Linked DNA regions of Arabidopsis thaliana. The protein of the gene in region 4 binds, or shares a complex with, the protein of the main gene of each other region. Each region holds a gene or a part of one and is shown on either strand. Other genes may lie near its edges. The genes, in order: rps15, AT3G13120, rps4 and RPS17.

Region 1 (3,956 bases), on a different chromosome or scaffold from region 4:
TTAATATCCAATAAAAAAAAAATGAGTTATGACCTATGCTCTTTATCACAAGCATATGTATTTTACAAATTATCACAAATTAAAGTTAGTAACTTTTGTAAATTAAAGGCTGTTCTTGAATATAACATATGCATAACATCCTTTTTTGTTAAGAATAAAATAAAGGTTTTTTTTCAAGAACACGGAATCTTTCATTATGAATTGAAAAATAAAACCTTTTTGAATTCCGAAGTAAATCAATGGAAAAACTGGTTACGAAGTCAGTATCAATACAATTTACCCCAGATTTCATGGGCTAGATTAGTAACCCAAAATTGGAAAAATAAAATAAATAAAGATTCTCTAGTTCTAAACCCAAGTTTAACCAAAGAGGATTCATATGAAAAAAAGAAATTTGATAATTATAAAAAACAAAAATTTTTTGAGGCCGACTCATTATTAAATCCAAAACATAATGTAAAAAAAGATTCTATATATAATCTTTTTTGCTATAAATCTATTCATTCTACAGAAAAAAATTTTGACATGTCTATAGGCATTGCCCTAGATAATTGTTTAGTCTCTTCTTTTCTAGAAAAATATAATATTCGGGGTATGGGGGAAATTCGGCATAGAAAATATTTGGATTGGAGAATTCTTAACTTTTGGTTTACAAAAAAAGTAACTATTGAGCCTTGGGTTGATACTAAGAGTAAAAAAAAATATATTAATACTAAAGTTCAGAATTATCAAAAAATTGATAAAATAACGCAGACGGATCTTGCTAATAAAAAAAGAAACTTTTTTGATTGGATGGGAATGAATGAAGAAATACTAAATCAGCGTATAACAAATTTTGAATTTTTTTTCTTTCCGGAATTTTTCTTATTTTCTAGTACATATAAAATGAAACCATGGGTCATACCAATCAAATTACTTCTTTTAAATTTTAATGAAAACATAAATGTTAATAAAAAGATCATTCGAAAGAAAAAAGGTTTTATACCATCAAATGAAAAAGAATCCCTTCGATTTTATAATCTGAATAAAGAAGAAAAAGAATCGGCCGGTCAAGTAGAACTTGAATCAGATAAAGAAACAAAAAGAAATCCCGAAGCAGCTCGATTAAACCAAGAAAAAAATATTGAAGAAAATTTTGCAGAATCAACAATAAAAAAACGTAAAAATAAAAAACAATACAAAAGTAATACAGAAGCGGAACTTGATTTATTTCTGACAAGATATTCGCGTTTTCAATTGCGATGGAATTGTTTTTTTAATCAAAAAATTCTCAATAATGTAAAAGTATACTGTCTCTTGGTTAGACTAAACAATCCAAACGAAATAGCGGTATCTTCTATTGAAAGAGGAGAGATGAGCCTAGACATTCTAATGATTGAGAAAAATTTCACTTTTGCAAAATTAATGAAAAAAGGAATATTGATTATTGAACCTGTGCGTTTGTCTGTACAAAACGATGGACAACTTATTATATATAGAACCATAGGTATTTCATTGGTTCATAAAAATAAACACAAAATAAGTAAAAGATACAAAAAAAAAAGCTATATTAATAAAAAATTTTTTGAAAAATCCATTACAAAATATCAAAACAAAACTGTAAATAAAAAAAAAAATAATTATGATTTCTTTGTCCCTGAAAAAATTCTATCCCCTAAACGACGTAGAGAATTTCGAATTCTAATTTGTTTCAACTTAAAAAAAAAAAATGCTAGGGATACAAATTCAAGATTTGATAAGAATATTCAAAACTTGACCACCGTTTTGCATAAAAAGAAAGATCTTGATCTTGATAAGGATAAAAATAACTTAATTAATTTAAAATCCTTTCTTTGGCCCAATTTTAAATTAGAAGATTTAGCTTGTATGAATCGCTATTGGTTTAATACTACTAACGGAAATCATTTCAGTATGATAAGAATACGCATGTATACGCGATTTCCAATTCCTTAATCATAAATACTTTTTACTATATATAATAAGTTACGGTATATGAAAACAACTATATGCACAAATATGAGGGATTGTTTTAAATTAAATCTTTATACATGAGATTAATTTAATCAATCACATAGATACCAATTATAGCGGATTCATAAATAAATTAACAGAATCCTTCTTTTTGAGATCTAAATTTAGATTTTTTTCTAAAATGAAGAATTAAGAGGTTGATAATTAAATTAAGATCCTTGTACAAAAAAACTACCATTATTATTACTGATCAGTAAAATTAATATCTTTCAATTCATATTAAAAGGGGAAGGATTTCTTTTTATGATAAAAAATATAGTCATTTCATTTGAAGAACAAAAAGAAGAAAGCAGGGGATCCGTTGAATTTCAAGTATTTAGTTTCACTAATAAGATACGAAGACTTACTTCACATTTGGAATTGCACAGAAAAGATTATTTATCTCAGCGGGGTCTACGAAAAATTCTGGGAAAACGTCAACGACTGCTGGCTTATTTGTCAAAAAAAAATAGAGTACGTTATAAAGAATTAATTAATCAGTTGAATATTCGGGAATTAAAAACTCGTTAAATTCAAAAATTGTGAATTAGTGAATTTTTTAGATCTTGAATTTTTTGATAAACTTCTTTATTCAGAAATCTAATTCATGCCAGAACGAATCAAGGAAAAACTTATGAAGAGACCAGTTACAGGAAAAGATCTTATGATAGTCAATATGGGACCTCACCACCCATCCATGCATGGTGTTCTTCGCTTAATTGTTACTCTAGATGGTGAGGATGTTGTTGACTGTGAACCCATATTAGGTTATTTACACAGAGGAATGGAAAAAATTGCAGAAAACCGAGCAATTATACAATATTTACCGTATGTAACGCGATGGGATTATTTAGCTACTATGTTTACAGAAGCAATAACAGTAAATGGACCAGAACAATTGGGAAATATTCAAGTTCCTAAAAGGGCCAGCTATATCAGAGTAATTATGCTGGAATTGAGTCGTATAGCTTCTCATCTGTTATGGCTCGGCCCTTTTATGGCAGATATTGGTGCACAGACTCCCTTTTTCTATATTTTCAGAGAACGAGAATTTGTATATGATCTATTCGAAGCTGCCACCGGTATGAGAATGATGCATAATTTTTTTCGTATTGGAGGAATAGCGGCTGATTTACCTTATGGTTGGATAGATAAATGCTTGGATTTTTGTGATTATTTTTTAACAGAGGTTGTTGAATATCAAAAACTCATTACACGAAATCCTATTTTTTTAGAACGGGTTGAAGGAGTTGGGATTATTGGTGGGGAAGAAGCAATAAATTGGGGTTTATCCGGACCAATGCTACGCGCATCCGGAATACCATGGGATCTTCGTAAAATTGATCGTTATGAGTCTTACGATGAATTTGAATGGGAAATTCAATGGCAAAAACAAGGAGATTCATTAGCTCGTTATTTAGTACGACTTAGCGAAATGACAGAATCCATAAAAATTATTCAACAGGCTCTGGAAGGACTTCCAGGGGGTCCCTATGAGAATTTAGAAAGCAGGGGCTTTGATAGAAAAAGGAATCCAGAATGGAATGATTTTGAATATCGATTCATTAGTAAAAAACCTTCTCCTACTTTTGAATTATCAAAACAAGAACTTTATGTAAGAGTTGAAGCTCCAAAAGGGGAGTTGGGAATTTTTCTCATAGGAGATCAAAGCGGTTTTCCTTGGAGATGGAAAATACGACCACCGGGTTTTATTAATTTGCAAATTCTTCCTGAACTAGTTAAAAGAATGAAATTGGCTGATATTATGACGATACTCGGTAGCATAGATATAATTATGGGAGAAGTTGATCGTTAAAATGATAATTTATGCAACAGCAGTCCAAACTATAAATTCTTTTGTTAAATTGGAATCTTTAAAAGAGGTCTATGGACTCATATGGATATTTGTCCCTATATTTTCTCTTGTATTGGGAATCATAACAGGT
Region 2 (6,002 bases), on a different chromosome or scaffold from region 4:
GAATATATGTTTTTTTTTCATTTTGCTTTGAGTTTTATGCTTTGTGGTTTTAATATCTTTTTTTTTTCTATATGGCTTAGACTCCAATAATTTTTTGTGTTCCTCCCGTTTTTGATTCCGAGTATTTATTCATTGCATATCGGCTTTAGTTTCTCTTTTTTTTTTTTTTTTTTTAGTCACTCCCGTGTGTACTATATACTTAATTTCAACAAATTTATCAATATCAAATCAGTTGACAAAAACAAAGAATAATTTGATTTAACTTTGGTGTTTTTGTAATTATAAAATGAAATAAACGTGACGTATGTAATGACAGATGACTTAGTTAGTCTATAGATCCGTGAAGCCATCGTCCTATTTTCAAGCCAAAGTCACTTGAATTTATCATGTGGCTCTCGCTCTTTCTGATCAATTAAATAGCTTTATCAATTAACATAATCATATGATGTGAAAACCAAAAAATTAACATAATAAAAAGCTTATATGTTAAAACGAAGATATTTGACTACCAGCGACTTAATAAACTATATCCAAGTGAGATTGTGTGAAAAAAAATAACTATTTGTTATGTTTAGAATCAATTTCTTCGATGGGTTTTAGATAAATATTTTATTTAAGTAACTGCCATCCCAAACAACAAGGGGAAAATACAAATTGAAGGTGTTGTTTTCTAATAAAACAAACAATTGGTATTACAGAAATTCAAAATCAGTGGGAACCCCTCCAATTATTTTCCGACAATCAGTGAGGTCTCAAAATACTACAACCAAAAGAAGAAATATATGTTTTCTTTTCTTTTTTTTTTGTCTTAAAATTATATTTTGTTTCCTTTCAGTTTCAGCCGTTGAAAATATTGTCTCTTCGAGTGTGGAAAACATAAAACCCTGTTTGTTTGATGCTTCTAATGTGGCCATGTATTTTCGATCAGGATTAGTGAACAATAAGACTGAATTAGAACAAAGCAATTCTGATATGAGGATACCATAATCACGAATAATGAATCACAGCTAAACTTTTATTAAAGTTAGAGAAAATAGTGACTCATAAGACATAGTATACTAGTTCATATCAGTGTTATTATCACCTTACATATTTGATCCAATATGAGTGTTTTGGTATATCAATATGAACCAGAGTTTAACCATTTGGTTGAACGCAAAATAGTTTTGAATATGTTTATGCAAATTGCAATAAACCCAAAATGGTAGTAAAAGAAAATACAACCCATAATGGTACTACTTGAAAGTTTATCATAAAACCGATCTCGTAAAATATAAGATTATGGAAGCAGAAATTATGTATGATTTCAGTAATGCTGTGAAAAAAAAAAGCAATTTATTCGAGTGTTTTTGAGAACAAACTATAATCAAAATAAATAATAATGGACGGTCCATGTTGGTATATCGTGGGAATATGCCTTAACTTTAACGACTATTATAAACCGCCACATCATTGTCTCATCTACTTAAACCAAATTCAATTTTGGCGACTATTCGTTTTCTTTCTTCTTTGGTCAAGACATTATCTTACAATGAACCACTTCTTACTATACCAAAAACCATTTCATATGATTAAAATAATGATATAGTTGTGTGTATGATTGAACATGGAAAAGAATATTCTTCAACTTTATAATATTGGGGGGTTGACAATTTCTGCATCATCCAAAATTCCAAATTAGATAAGAAAAAGCGCCATCGACTTATCAGACATAAATTCGAAACCATTACTGTTTTTTCCCTTGGATCGTTTCGTAAGCTTGGAAAGGAAAGACTGGTAAAACAACACTTGCAGGTTTTAATTGGCTGCTAAGAAAAGAGACGAACTGAGTCTAGAGGATAATTGATAAATGAAATGTGTTGTGACAAAAAATTATAATTTCCCTATTGAGTTTGTGGATAAACGAACTTATACGTTTATTATAATAATGAAGTCGCTTTCAAGATTCCAACCTCCTGGTTTTAAAATAACTCAAGTTGTGCATCTTCTTATTCCTACTATAATACTACTATAATACTTATATTCAAAAAAAAGATTCCACTTTGAATACAACAAAAATAAAAAAACTTATCATAATGGACACAGGCAAACTGCATAACAATTAGTAAAACAAAAACAAATTCCTTTGAACTTGCTTAATTAAGGATATGTTCATCAACTAAGAACCAAGCATCGCTAAAGATAGATTCCAAGGACCAGATAATACAACTTACATTTTCGTTACAAAGGTTCTCAAAAAAGATGATACAAGGCTTACCAGTTCTAAGCAATGTAGTTGATCTGAAACAGTCTGTTCATTCAATGCAAAAGTGCCCATCACATCTGAGGAAGAAAAAACACTTTGGTTAAGAACAAGCATCAAGATCTTGATGGTCAACAGAGAAAGATTGTAATTTGATGAAGTTTTGTTTTTGAGGATAAATATTGGAGCCTATGTGCAGTTTCAGTAGCTAAGACACATCAATATTCAAAAACCATTAAGAAGAGAGATCACTTTTTTTGTTTGTTACCATTGTAGTTACGCTTCTTCTTCAGAGCTTCACTTCCACATCGACACCAGCAGGAAGATCAAGTTGCATCAAAGAATCGATAGTTTGAGCAGTCGGGTAGAGAATATCAATCATGCGCTGGTGTGTCCGGATTTCAAAATGGAACCTAGCATCCTTGTGAACGTGAGGAGACTTGAGAACACAGTAGATACGCTTCTTGGTTGGCAATGGAACAGGACCCATCGTCTTTGCATTGGTGTTTCTCGCAGCATCAAGTATCTGCTTGCATGAGTCCTCAATAAGAGGCACCCAGTATGATCTAAGCTTGATCCTAATCTTTTGCTTTGGCGCCATCTGATAACACAAAAATAAATCAAATTAAACCAAACACAATGAAACTCCACAAGACCCCTTAAAACAAAACTCTATTGTGGCAAATCTTATGAAGATACCATCTAAAGACGATCAAGATTTCTATACAATTACTTCTCCTTTCCTGTATATACAAGATGATATCTACTTGAAGGCATTTCACACAAATGAGACTCTTTATCGCTCTGAAAAAACGTAGTAAACCAAAGAAGTCTATTGATCTGACAAAGATAGACATTGAAGACATCAAATTTGAAAATTTGCGTATCAATTTCTAGCAGTGACCTCTAACACAGCAATGGGCATTGGTGTTAGAACAGATATGATACTTTTTAGCGCTGTGAAAACGTAGTAAAGCAAAAAAGTCTACTGTTTTGACGAAGATGGACACAGAATTTAGAACACACCAATGCACAAGTACTCGTAAAATCTGTATTCTAGTAAGTGAGCTGTAACAGTAACGGAATATACCTTATCCGCGTCTACACTGATGGATGAAGAGCTCGGAACCTGAATCACACAGACACAAAGACTATTATTAACAGAATTAACATCAAAGTGCTAAATGATTCTGCAAAACAATGTCTTTCCCCCCCCCCCCCCAAATTTCGCATTAGCTCTGCAAACAATCGAATCCGAGACTGACAGAGGAAAGAGTGTACCTCAGAGGCGGGTTCATCGAGAATTTCTGGAGTTGGATCTAGGGTATCGGGAACAGCGAAGACCTTCGTAAGCGAGACGGATGGTTTCGTAAGGACGCAGGAACTAAGGCCGCCATGGGTAGAAGATGAAGGCAGCAGAGAGACTTTGAGTCTGGTAGAAGAAGGCGAAGAGCTTGGAATGCCGAAAGATGGCAATAGAAACGACGATACAGTAGAAACCGCCATTGAATTTTCCCAAAACCACGAATCGATTTCTCTTATTCTTCTTCCTCTTAACGTTCGAAGGATGAGGTTTCTTCTTCAGCAGCTTCTTCTTGAGGGTTATCCATTTTATCCAAAACCTTTTTCTCTCTTTTTTAAATGATGAGATATTATTTATTCTAAGCCCATTAATTCATTAAAAGGCCTACGCTTATTATAAATGAATACCCATTAGGCCCAAATTGTATAGTTTCTGTTAGGGACCAAAAGTACCCATTAGGCCCATATTTTATAGTTCTTTTGGGGACCAAAAATATTCTAACCTAGTAAAATATGATTCATTTGTCTTTCGGTATTTTCTTTCTTGTGGATTGTGATCTGTCTTTAGAAGATTCTTTTGTATCTCATAAATATCTTTTGGAAAATTCAACACACAAACATTCGTGAAGTAGATGGAAAATTTAAGAAAAGTGGAAGACAAAATGAACTACTTGACAAACAAAACCCCATGAAAATATGCAATGAATGTGGAAAAAAATGGACAATATAAATATTCGATGAAATAATACAAACTCATAAAATAATATTAATTTGAATACAAAAGACAATAATATCAAGGAAGGATTCCGTAGTTTTGATTTTTGACTTTTAAATGCATTGTTCTTAATTTTATCTGTAATTGTGTGATCCATAATCTGTAAATATATACCTTCAAATGTGTGATCCATAATCTCACACGGAAATATAAGGTGTTAGCGTAGTTCAAGTATAATTTTTTTTTAATAAAAGCAAAATACATGTAGAAGAAGCCTAACAATTAACATAATGATGTCGCCAAATCCATGCAATTTAAAGAAGGAAAATGACTTAAACCAATCAAAGACATAAAAGACAATGACATCTTCTAAATATTATTGTCCACAAGCCCTCACACTATTCAAAGACCAATCATCCCTTACTATTCCGTTTGTATTTGTCTCAATCATGAGTATTTTTTTTTATATATATCATCAAGCTATACATGACTTAAAAGTCATATTCCTTTACCATTAACATACCATAAAAGCTAAGTCATCATGTATAGCTTGATGATATAAAAAGAAAAAAAATCCGAATTCCATCAGAGGTCATAAAAGATTCGGAACTTTTGGAACACTAACCAGAGGTCGTTTCGCAATGTAACCAATAATAGGACATAAGAAAACATGGATTAGTTGACAAACAAACAATAGAAGAAACACAGAGACTTTTTTTTATCCACATAACTGGGAAATCACACTTCACACGTGGCATGCAGCCATGCAGCTTCAGAACAAGGGGTGGTTTGGTAAAATCATCCACAGATGCCCATTGCCTTTGGCTTAAATTCTATAAATACCAAAGCCGTTGAGTGTAGTGTAACGCTTTGCACAATTACACTTTAACCTGTTTAATTCCTTCTTCTTCTTCTTCTTATTCTAGTCCTCACCATTCACTCACAAAACCAAAGAAAAGAAACCAGAGAGATGGATCAAATAAAACCGGAGTTTCTGAAGAAATTGACCAAGTTTATAGCAGTTTCGATGTGGATTTTATCTCTTTTAACCAGCCACGACTTCTATTTATATAGGTTCATGATCCAACTCGTAACACACGCAGTAGATAAAAACTACATGTTCCTCCTCTGCAATGGTCTCGTAGTGGTTGTTGCTAAGTGTTCTGGTTTGGTCGCTTCGTCCAAACCAATAGAGAAAATTTGGAGTAATACCGATAAAACCTTTGATTATGGAGATTTCGAGAGTTACACTACGATACTGGAGCTAGAGTATAAATCTGATCATGGAATAGGAACAGAGTCCTTTCTTGCAGAGGAAGTTACAGTGGAGGAAGATACAAAACATCAAGAAACCGAGGACAACGAAGAAGAAGATGACGACGACAACACATTAGCAGATAATGATGGAGAGGAAGAGTGTGGTCTTCGTGGCGGATCTATAAACGAGGAAGAAGAAGGGAACGTAGGAGTGATGACATCGACGGAGGAGGAGATGAATAAGAAATTCGACGAGTTCATCAGAAAGATGAAGGAAGAGCTTAGAATCGAAGCTAAACGGCATTTAATCCTTGTTTGAGTACTTTCTAATTAATCAGTTTTGTTTAAGTTTAATCAAACGCAATTTGCTCATATAGAGAGCGAGTTACGTTTTCTAGCTTCTTCTACATCCTCCTAGCCTCTGTAAGCATCTCTTTTAATGGAATCCTTTTTAAATCTAAGTAATTCTCTCGCGTTACACTTTTT
Region 3 (4,475 bases), on a different chromosome or scaffold from region 4:
TGCCCTTCAACTATAGTATACTATACATATAGACCTTTTTTTACTTGTTTGATTCAACGGAACTCATTTAACCTTTCCTTTCGGATATGTATTATGTATCAAGTATTATACATTCTTTTTGAACGGCTGGATTCACAACATGAACAAAAAAAAGAGAGGGGATAAAGCATAATTGCACTTTTTTTACTAAAGATACGTTTAATTTGAAGAATAAAAACTTATCAAAATTAATAAATCCTCTGCCAAGAACCAGATTTGAACTGGTGACACGAGGATTTTCAGTCCTCTGCTCTACCAACTGAGCTATCCCGGCGAAGGATCATCCTCGTTTTACGAATGGTGGCACAACGATTTCAAGTCCCCCGGAAAAAAGCTATGTCCACCATTAGTCTACTGAAGTATCAAGTATCATCTACTGAAGTATCATGCTCGTTTTCCTAATGGTGACACGAGGATTTCGAGTCCTCTGCAAAAAAGCTATGTCTACCTTTACTGAAGGATCATTATCATGTGACACAGGGATTTTAAGTCCCCCGCAATTAAGCTATGCCGACCATTACTGAGGTATCATCTACTGAAGTATCATCTTGCTTTTACTAATGGTGACATAAGGATTTTCAGTCCTCTACTAATGGTGACATAAGGATTTTCAGTCCTCTGCAACTAAGCTATGTCGACCATTACCGAAGGATCATCTTGCTTTTACTAATGGTGACACAAGGATTTTCAGTCCCCCGCAATTAAGCTATGTGTACCATTACCGAAGTATAATCTACTGAAGTATCAGTATCATTTTAATATATGACTTAGGTCTATGTCAATGAAAAGAAACTCAAAAGTAGTAAATTCAAAAAGTTGTGGACCGGGAATTTCTTGGATTTTATAAATAAAAGAAGACTTTCTAAGTTTGAAAATGAAAAATGATATAGATTATAAATAATTCAAATAAATAATAACGAAAAAAAGGTAAGGTGTCAACCTTTTCGGGGAGTAGAGCTGGGGATAGAGGGACTTGAACCCTCACGATTTTAAAAGTCAACGGATTTTCATCTTACTATAAATTTCATTGTTGTCAGTATTGACATGTAAAATGGGACTCTATCTTTATTCTCGTCCGATTAATTAAGTTCCATCAAGGATCTATCAGACTATGAAGTGAATAATTTTATTTTAATCAAGAAATATTATTTCTTAAACTTCGAATTGATTCACAACATTTTGATTTTGTTTATAAAAAAATAGAAATCGAGATTCAGGTCGTCATTTTTGAGATCGTTTTGTGTTACCTAAATTTATACAATATAGGTTTTTATCCTTCATCCTTTTTGATTTGAAGTTTCGATCGAAGGATTCCTTTATGAACACAAGGTAGTGAACTCCATTTGTTAGAACAGCTTCCATTGAGTCTCTGCACCTATCCCTTTTTTCGCGCTTTGTAAACTCCGGTTTGTTCGCGTAAACCAGGATTTGGCTCAGGATTGCCCATTGTTAATTCCAGGGTTTCTCTGAATTTGAAAGTTATCACTTAGTAGGTTTCCATACCAAGGCTCAATCCAATTAAGTCCGTAGCGTCTACCAATTCCGCCATATCCCCTTTTTTAGGATCTCATTATGATGTCTTTCCTTTTTTTTCTTATGCCGAAACCTCGGGATTCATTACATTATAGATACTTATTTTATGTCTTTGTTATCTTCTTTTATTTTTTTGAGCTCCATCCATATTGATTTAGTCTAATCAACAAAGATTCTATCATTTTTGTATTTGCAATTCAATATGGTTATATATTACATAACATATATATGTTCTTTTTTTTTTCATCTTTGGCTTAAATTTTCAGAAATAGTCGAACGGTCGATTCTTTTTTTTTTTTTTACTTTCATGAAAAGAAATTTATTATTATTATTATTGAAACTTAGAATTCTACAATGTGCAATGGAAAAAAATTATAAGTCTACTTCGTAAATTTGAAATTCTAATAATTCTATACTATTCTATGACTATATAGATATATATATAGAATTAAGGTTATGTTTTATTTATTTAATGATGAATGATAGTCACTATTTATGTGAGCTATATTCTGTTCTAGAATATATAGAATATCATTAATTCTAACTAGATAAGGAAAAATATTAATAGAATAGTTAATTGATACGATCTAGTAGTTTAGTGAATTTGTATGCATGCGCTATTTTATTTGAGCCCGCTTAGCTCAGAGGTTAGAGCATCGCATTTGTAATGCGATGGTCATCGGTTCGATTCCGATAGCCGGCTTTTCCATATTTTTTCGTTTTTTTTTACATGATTTTTAATGTACTTTCAAAATCAAAGAAGATTGAAAAGACTTCTTTGACCTTTTTCCAAGAGTTACCACTCCATTTATATTATGTCATATAAACTTCCATATTAGGAATATATATTGGGTAAAAGAGTTTGATCTTTGCAAAATTAATCAAGAAAATAAAGGAAAATTTTTGTGATTTAGTTGATTTATATATATTGTATATACAATAAAAAAAATCTGTATATTGAGAGAATATATCTTCTTACTCTTTGTATTCCAATAGTGGAGTGTATTTCACGTCATTTATCATTATCATTTAGTTCAGTTTTAATTTTATTTAGTTTTGTACAATTTCAATCAAAAAAGGAGTCTTTATGTCACGTTACCGAGGGCCTCGTTTTAAAAAAATACGCCGTCTGGGGGCTTTACCGGGACTAACTAGTAAAAGGCCTAAGGCAGGAAGCGATCTTAGAAACCAATCACGCTCCGTAAAAAAATCTCAATATCGTATTCGTTTAGAAGAAAAACAAAAATTGCGTTTTCATTATGGTCTTACAGAACACCAATTACTTAAATATGTGCGTATAGCCGGAAAAGCCAAGGGGTCAACAGGTCAAGTTTTACTACAATTACTTGAAATGCGTTTGGATAACATCCTTTTTCGATTGGGTATGGCTTTGACTATTCCTCAAGCGCGCCAATTAGTTAATCATGGACATATTTTAGTTAATGGTCGTATAGTTGATATACCAAGTTATCGCTGCAAACCCCGAGATATTATTACAGTGAAGGATGAACAAAACTCTAGAACTTTGGTTCAAAATCTTCTTGATTCATCTGCCCCTGAGGAATTGCCAAACCATCTGACTCTTCACACATTCCAATATGAAGGGTTAGTCAATCAAATAATAGATAGGAAATGCGTCGGTTTGAAAATAAATGAATTGCTTGTCGTAGAATATTACTCTCGACAGACTTAATAAACCTAACTTAAGTAAAAAAAAAAATTACTAAAAACAAGAGTTCGGACAACTCCCCTTTTCCATTAAAAATAAAAAGGCACAAGGTAAGGGATTTTGTCAAAGAATATTTTTCCTATTCATGTATCATAGATTGGTAGGGAGATTGGGATCCCTTGTTTGCTCTTCCCAGCATTTTCCATATGAAAGAAATTAGGAATAGAGAATCTATTTCAAAATCAAAACAAGGTAGATCTTATATCGATTCTTTTTTATTGGATTTGATACATTGTGGTCAATCACGTAAGATTGGTGAATTTGTTGAAAGTACGGAAAGAGAGGGATTCGAACCCTCGGTAAACAAAAGTCTACATAACAGTTCCAATGTTACGCCTTCAACCACTCGGCCATCTCTCCGACATCAAGATTATGACTGAGTATCTGGGTGAATAGCGAGTTATTCATCGTTTTTTAGATTATGGTTAATAGATACCCTTTTTGACCGGAAAATTTGGAAGTAGATAGAAGGTTTTTTTTAATGAGTCCGCTTTTATGTTAGTTCGTACTATACAATTCCTTTGTTTGTGAGAAAATTTTCTCACAAAAGAAAAGGTAAAGGAAATAAAAAGAGTTAGAGAATGGATTACTACCTATGCCAAGATCGCGTATAAATGGAAATTTTATTGATAAAACCTTTACAATTGTAGCCGATATCTTATTACGAGTCATTCCGACAACTTCCGGAGAAAAAGAGGCATTTACTTATTACAGAGATGGTGCGATTTGATTATCATTATTTTTTTTCTCGCCGATTTTGATTGGAATAGAAAGAAAAACGAGTATTGAAAAAAAATCTACGCTTTTGAAGGTGAAGTTTATAATATAAAAAAAACAATCCCTTCTGTCATGTATCCACGATTAATGCAGCCTTAGATGCTTCAATTGTGAATTATAGTATTGAGCAAAAGGTTTTTACCTATGGTTCCCGTATTACAGATCAATCCTACTACACTAATACAATATACGAATAGGAGGCATAGGGGAAGAAGCACTACGCCGAGAAATCAACAACACGAAAACTTTCTTAAAAATGATTCCCTTTCTTCTTCTTCGTTGGGATTGGGACTAATTAAAATGGTTGGAACAATAAACATCCATCTCGTTCGTATTTTGGATACCCGTATAACCATTGAAGACTGTTGAAGTGACTAATTCCTGGAAACTTAGGGGC
Region 4 (4,277 bases):
AAAATTAAGAGGTGTGGTCTGAAACATGCGCCCCACGTCCCATCTTCCAAAAAAAGGAAGCAAAAGAAGAAAGCTCCACAATTTTCTCAAAGCCAAAATCACTGTAACAATTACCCTTTATTGTTTTGCGGCTCGATTAGCTTCTCCTTCCCTTTTGATTCTCCCCATCTCAAGAGAGGCCCATTTGATCCTCTCTCTTTCTCTCTCTCTCCTCTCTAATTCTCTATTGCCATCAAGAGACCAGGAATGGTTCGTGCTTCGGAACAAGAACAGGAAACCTATAGGAGCAGGCTCTTCAATTTCAAATGGAGGAACAACGACAACAATAGTGCTACGAGACACAACAAGAGTCTCAGCGTCGAGACCGGTTTAGATGAGGCTGCCACCGGATCCCATGACGCTGAACCATTGACCATTATTCATCCTAGTCAGGGTCCACCACTTTCAAGATCGGCTGCGGATGAAGCAGTCCTCGCCGCCCTCGCCGCCTCACAGGCTAGAGAAAGGCAGCTTTTGGCAGACATGGAGCAGATGAAAGAGCGCTTCTCCAAGCTGTTGCTGGGAGAGGACAATTCCGGTGGAGGCAAAGGAGTATCCTCTGCTCTCGCCCTTTCAAACGCAATCACAAACCTTGCAGGTTGCTTTAGGACCCTCTTTTGTTATTACACTTAGTTTATATTAACCAGCAACCAATATCTCATGTTTATCTTGTTGGTATAGCTTCCGTGTTCGGAGAGCAACGGCGCTTGGAGCCAATGCCTGCAGAAAGAAGAGCAAGATGGAGAAAAGAGATTGATTGGCTTCTCTCCGTGACCGATTACGTGGTTGAGTTTGCTCCATCTCAGCAGAAAAATAAAGATGGGACCAATATGGAGGTTGTCTATCTGCTGCTGCTGCTGCATTATATTTCATTTGGTAACATACAATGATTCCCTTATTCTGTTGGTATTGATTTAACAGATAATGACCACACGCCAACGTACTGACCTCCACATGAATATCCCCGCATTGAAGAAACTGGACGCCATGCTCATCGTAAGACCTCTCTCTCTCTCTCTCTCGTTGACCAAATATCAACCCTACTTTAATAATTTCATTTAGGATATTCAAAAGCATCCTCTTATCCCCCTTTTCTACCTAGGATTGTCTAGAAAATTTCAAGGACCAAAGCGAGTTCAGCTATATCTCAAAAGACTCCCCTGACTTAGACGGTAAGAGAAACGACGAAAAATGGTGGATTCCGACCGTCAAAGTTCCACCAGATGGTCTATCAGAAGCTTCAAGAAGGTTTTTGCAGTACCAGAAAGATTGTGTAAACCAGGTTCTAAAGGCAGCCATGGCCATAAACGCACAGGTTTTGTTCGAGATGGAGATACCTGAGAGCTACATCGACTCTCTCCCAAAGGTAAAAAAAAAAAAAGACACCAACAATTGATGTTATTGATTAGAAGAGTTGATGAAGAATAATACTCACTTGTTTAGTTTGTAATAAATAAATAAACAGAACGGGAGGGCGAGTCTCGGGGATCAGATGTACAAGAATATAACGGTGGACTTCTTTGACCCGGACCAGTTCCTGAGCAGCATGGACATGTCGTCGGAGCACAAGATCGTGGACCTCAAAAACAGAATCGAGGCATCAATCATTATATGGAAACGCAAAATGGTTTATAAAGACAACAAATCATCGGCACCCTGGGCCTCCGGAGTAAGTCTGGAGAAGCGAGAGGTCTTCGAAGAGCGAGCTGAGACCATTTTGCTCATTCTCAAGCAAAGATACCCCGGGATTTCTCAATCTTCACTCGACATCAGCAAAATCCAGTTCAACGAGGACGTGGGCCAGGCGGTGCTGGAGAGCTACTCGAGAATACTGGAAAGCTTGGCCTACACGGTACTTTCCAGAATCGATGACGTTTTAGAGGCAGATCGAGCGGGGAACAAGAGGAACACGCCATTGGAAGCAGAGGAAGAGACGCTGGTTGGGAGCATGACGCTGTCGGATTTCATGGGATGGGACTTCGATCAGGCCGCGAACGCCGAATTGGAGTCGAAGAAGGATCTACCGGATGATCCGTTGATAAAGGAGAAGCTAAGCGTCGTCACGACCAAGAAGACCTCATACCTCGAAACCCTAGGCGGTGTCAAGAGTCCAACGGCACGGCATTGATATTTGTGTGGAAAATTAGGCGCAAAAAAGAGCGAAGACAGATTTATTGATTATTTAATTATTTTTAGGATTCAAAAACTTTACAAAAGGGCTTTTGTAAATTCCTTTTTATGAAAAGGTGGGCTTTTAAGATTAGGCCCAGTTTATTGTAAAACCCATTTACCATCTGTATACTGTATACATCCCTTCTAAATAGTAGTAGTACTCACCTTATCTTCATTTTCATCGATTCGATTCCAAATCGGAAGGATGATAACGTCGTCCCTAACCTCATCTCTGCAAGCTCTCAAGCTTTCGTCTCCGTTCGCCCATGGCTCCACTCCTCTCTCATCTCTCTCTAAGCCCAATTCCTTCCCGAACCACAGAATGCCCGCTTTAGTTCCGGTCATCAGAGCCATGAAAACGATGCAGGGGCGCGTGGTGTGCGCAACCAGTGACAAGACTGTGGCGGTGGAGGTGGTGAGGCTGGCTCCCCACCCCAAGTACAAGAGGCGCGTGAGGATGAAGAAGAAGTACCAAGCTCACGACCCCGATAATCAGTTCAAGGTTGGCGACGTGGTCAGACTGGAAAAGAGCAGACCCATCAGTAAGACTAAATCATTTGTGGCGCTTCCTGTCATCGCAAGGGCCGCCAGGAAAGCCGAAGCCGGAGGAGATGAACTCCTTGGCCTTCCCTTGGAGTCTCAGCAGCCGGCGTAGAGAATGATTGCTCTTTGTTTCTTTTGGTAAAGCCGTCTTTTTTTTGCTCTGCTTCTGTTTGTTTGTTGTGTATCCCGGAACCAGTGTAATTTATGGAATGCTTTTGTGATTTCATTGCTTATGCCATGAGTGTGTTTTCAATCTGATTGTTTCCGACTACCAATTGTTTGCTCTTACTTCATCTTCACCTCCAGTTACATTTAGAATGTGAATTAATATGTTTCTGTTGCTACTGTGTGCTTGTGGTCTCAGTGATCCGACTTTTGTTTCTGCTAATTCTACGGTTCTTGCTCCTCTTGTTATGGTTCATTTGCCAATGGAATGGACCAAAAAGGTGTTGGATAATAATAGGATTGGAGAAGAGAGAGCTGGTCGTTTTTGTACAAAACTTTAATGCACTGCTGCTATACATTATCATATAATTATATATAGGTAAATAATATCTGCTGTGACTTGTCATCAGCAATCTTCGATTTGTAGACTTCTCTTAATGTTGTGTAGTGTGACTGAGACGAGGTTTGTCACGGATTCCACAGACTCCATATTCAGCTTTGCTGCAGGAGAAGGGTTGATGAGGGTTTGGAGGGCGAGTGTCAGGAGCGACCCTCCTTGGCTGTTTCTGTCGTCTTGTGTAGACGTTATTACCAGTGGCCGTGACTCTACTCCATCAGGTATGATTGAGAATCCAGAGGGGAGGATTTGGATGTTGCTTGGATCATGTCCCGCGAGCACCAGCTGTGTCGTGTTTATATCTACGGGAGCGTATACCACCACCGACTCATACGAGTTAGTGCTGCTGTCTTGCAGCACCCATATGCTCTTTTCTCTCGATTTCACTGTCTGGAAATGTATAGAAATTCAGATTATCAAGGCCTAGACAGATTTAGAGGAGGAGAAGACAAAATAAACGCACCTGGATTGCCACTGAGTTGCCTCTGTCTTGTCCCTTGGATAAGTTTGCAATAGACTGAACATGAGCTCCGTTTGACAAAGCATCCCACTGATGATATGTATCGTTAGATAAATATATGAGTGGAAACCGCTTTTCTTGTTTGCTTAAATGTGTGTGAATTTGACAAGGTACCTCATGCCGACGAGCTTCATCTCTAAAGAAATCGAAGAGAAGAGCTGGAGAAACAGGTAACCACAGCGAAGAAGAAGCGCAGACAATGACTCCCGTGGGCTCGCCAGGATCATGAAGGTTCTTCCTGGAAGAAACCCGCATGTCTTGTCCAGTTTTGGTGGTGATTTTGGTCCATTGATGGTAGCTTGATGCAGCAATGGCGCGGTAGAAGCTTTGTGTCATTCTCTGAGCCATCTTCAGCACACTCTTTCTCCCGGCAAGAGTTGTAACTCCTGATTATCAACAGAGGAGTGAAAAGGTTATATATAAAGAAAGATAGAGAGTGTA

The links.
Region 1: RPS17 (region 4) and rps15 share a complex: the UniProt entries of both Arabidopsis thaliana proteins name them as parts of the 30S ribosomal subunit.
Region 2: RPS17 (region 4) and AT3G13120 share a complex: the UniProt entries of both Arabidopsis thaliana proteins name them as parts of the 30S ribosomal subunit.
Region 3: RPS17 (region 4) and rps4 share a complex: the UniProt entries of both Arabidopsis thaliana proteins name them as parts of the 30S ribosomal subunit.

What each region holds. Positions count from the first base shown.
Region 1 is NC_000932.1:121,881-125,836, reverse strand, and holds rps15 (ribosomal protein S15), read left to right. Parts: upstream 1-2,274; coding exon 2,275-2,541; downstream 2,542-3,956. Other genes in the region: ndhH (NADH dehydrogenase subunit 7), read left to right, coding at 2,645-3,826; ndhA (NADH dehydrogenase subunit 1), read left to right, coding at 3,828-3,956.
Region 2 is NC_003074.8:4,217,779-4,223,780, forward strand, and holds AT3G13120 (Ribosomal protein S10p/S20e family protein), read right to left. Parts: upstream 3,870-6,002; 5' UTR 3,749-3,869; coding exon 3,524-3,748; intron 3,372-3,523; coding exon 3,333-3,371; intron 2,844-3,332; coding exon 2,532-2,843; 3' UTR 2,511-2,531; exon of another isoform or gene 2,495-2,510; intron 2,323-2,494; 3' UTR 1,532-2,322; downstream 1-1,531. Other genes in the region: AT3G13130 (uncharacterized protein), read left to right, coding at 5,230-5,835.
Region 3 is NC_000932.1:44,013-48,487, reverse strand, and holds rps4 (ribosomal protein S4), read left to right. Parts: upstream 1-2,659; coding exon 2,660-3,265; downstream 3,266-4,475. Other genes in the region: photosystem I assembly protein Ycf3, read left to right, coding at 3,897-4,022. UniProt on the Arabidopsis thaliana protein: One of the primary rRNA binding proteins, it binds directly to 16S rRNA where it nucleates assembly of the body of the 30S subunit. With S5 and S12 plays an important role in translational accuracy.
Region 4 is NC_003070.9:30,040,062-30,044,338, reverse strand, and holds RPS17 (ribosomal protein S17), read left to right. Parts: upstream 1-2,386; 5' UTR 2,387-2,416; coding exon 2,417-2,866; 3' UTR 2,867-3,096; downstream 3,097-4,277. Other genes in the region: ROPGEF12 (RHO guanyl-nucleotide exchange factor 12), read left to right, coding at 247-637, 721-875, 961-1,035, 1,142-1,405, 1,505-2,167; GL2 (HD-ZIP IV family of homeobox-leucine zipper protein with lipid-binding START domain-containing protein), read right to left, coding at 3,326-3,706, 3,780-3,866, 3,951-4,222. UniProt on the Arabidopsis thaliana protein: One of the primary rRNA binding proteins, it binds specifically to the 5'-end of 16S ribosomal RNA. Required for optimal plastid performance in terms of photosynthesis and growth. Required for the translation of plastid mRNAs.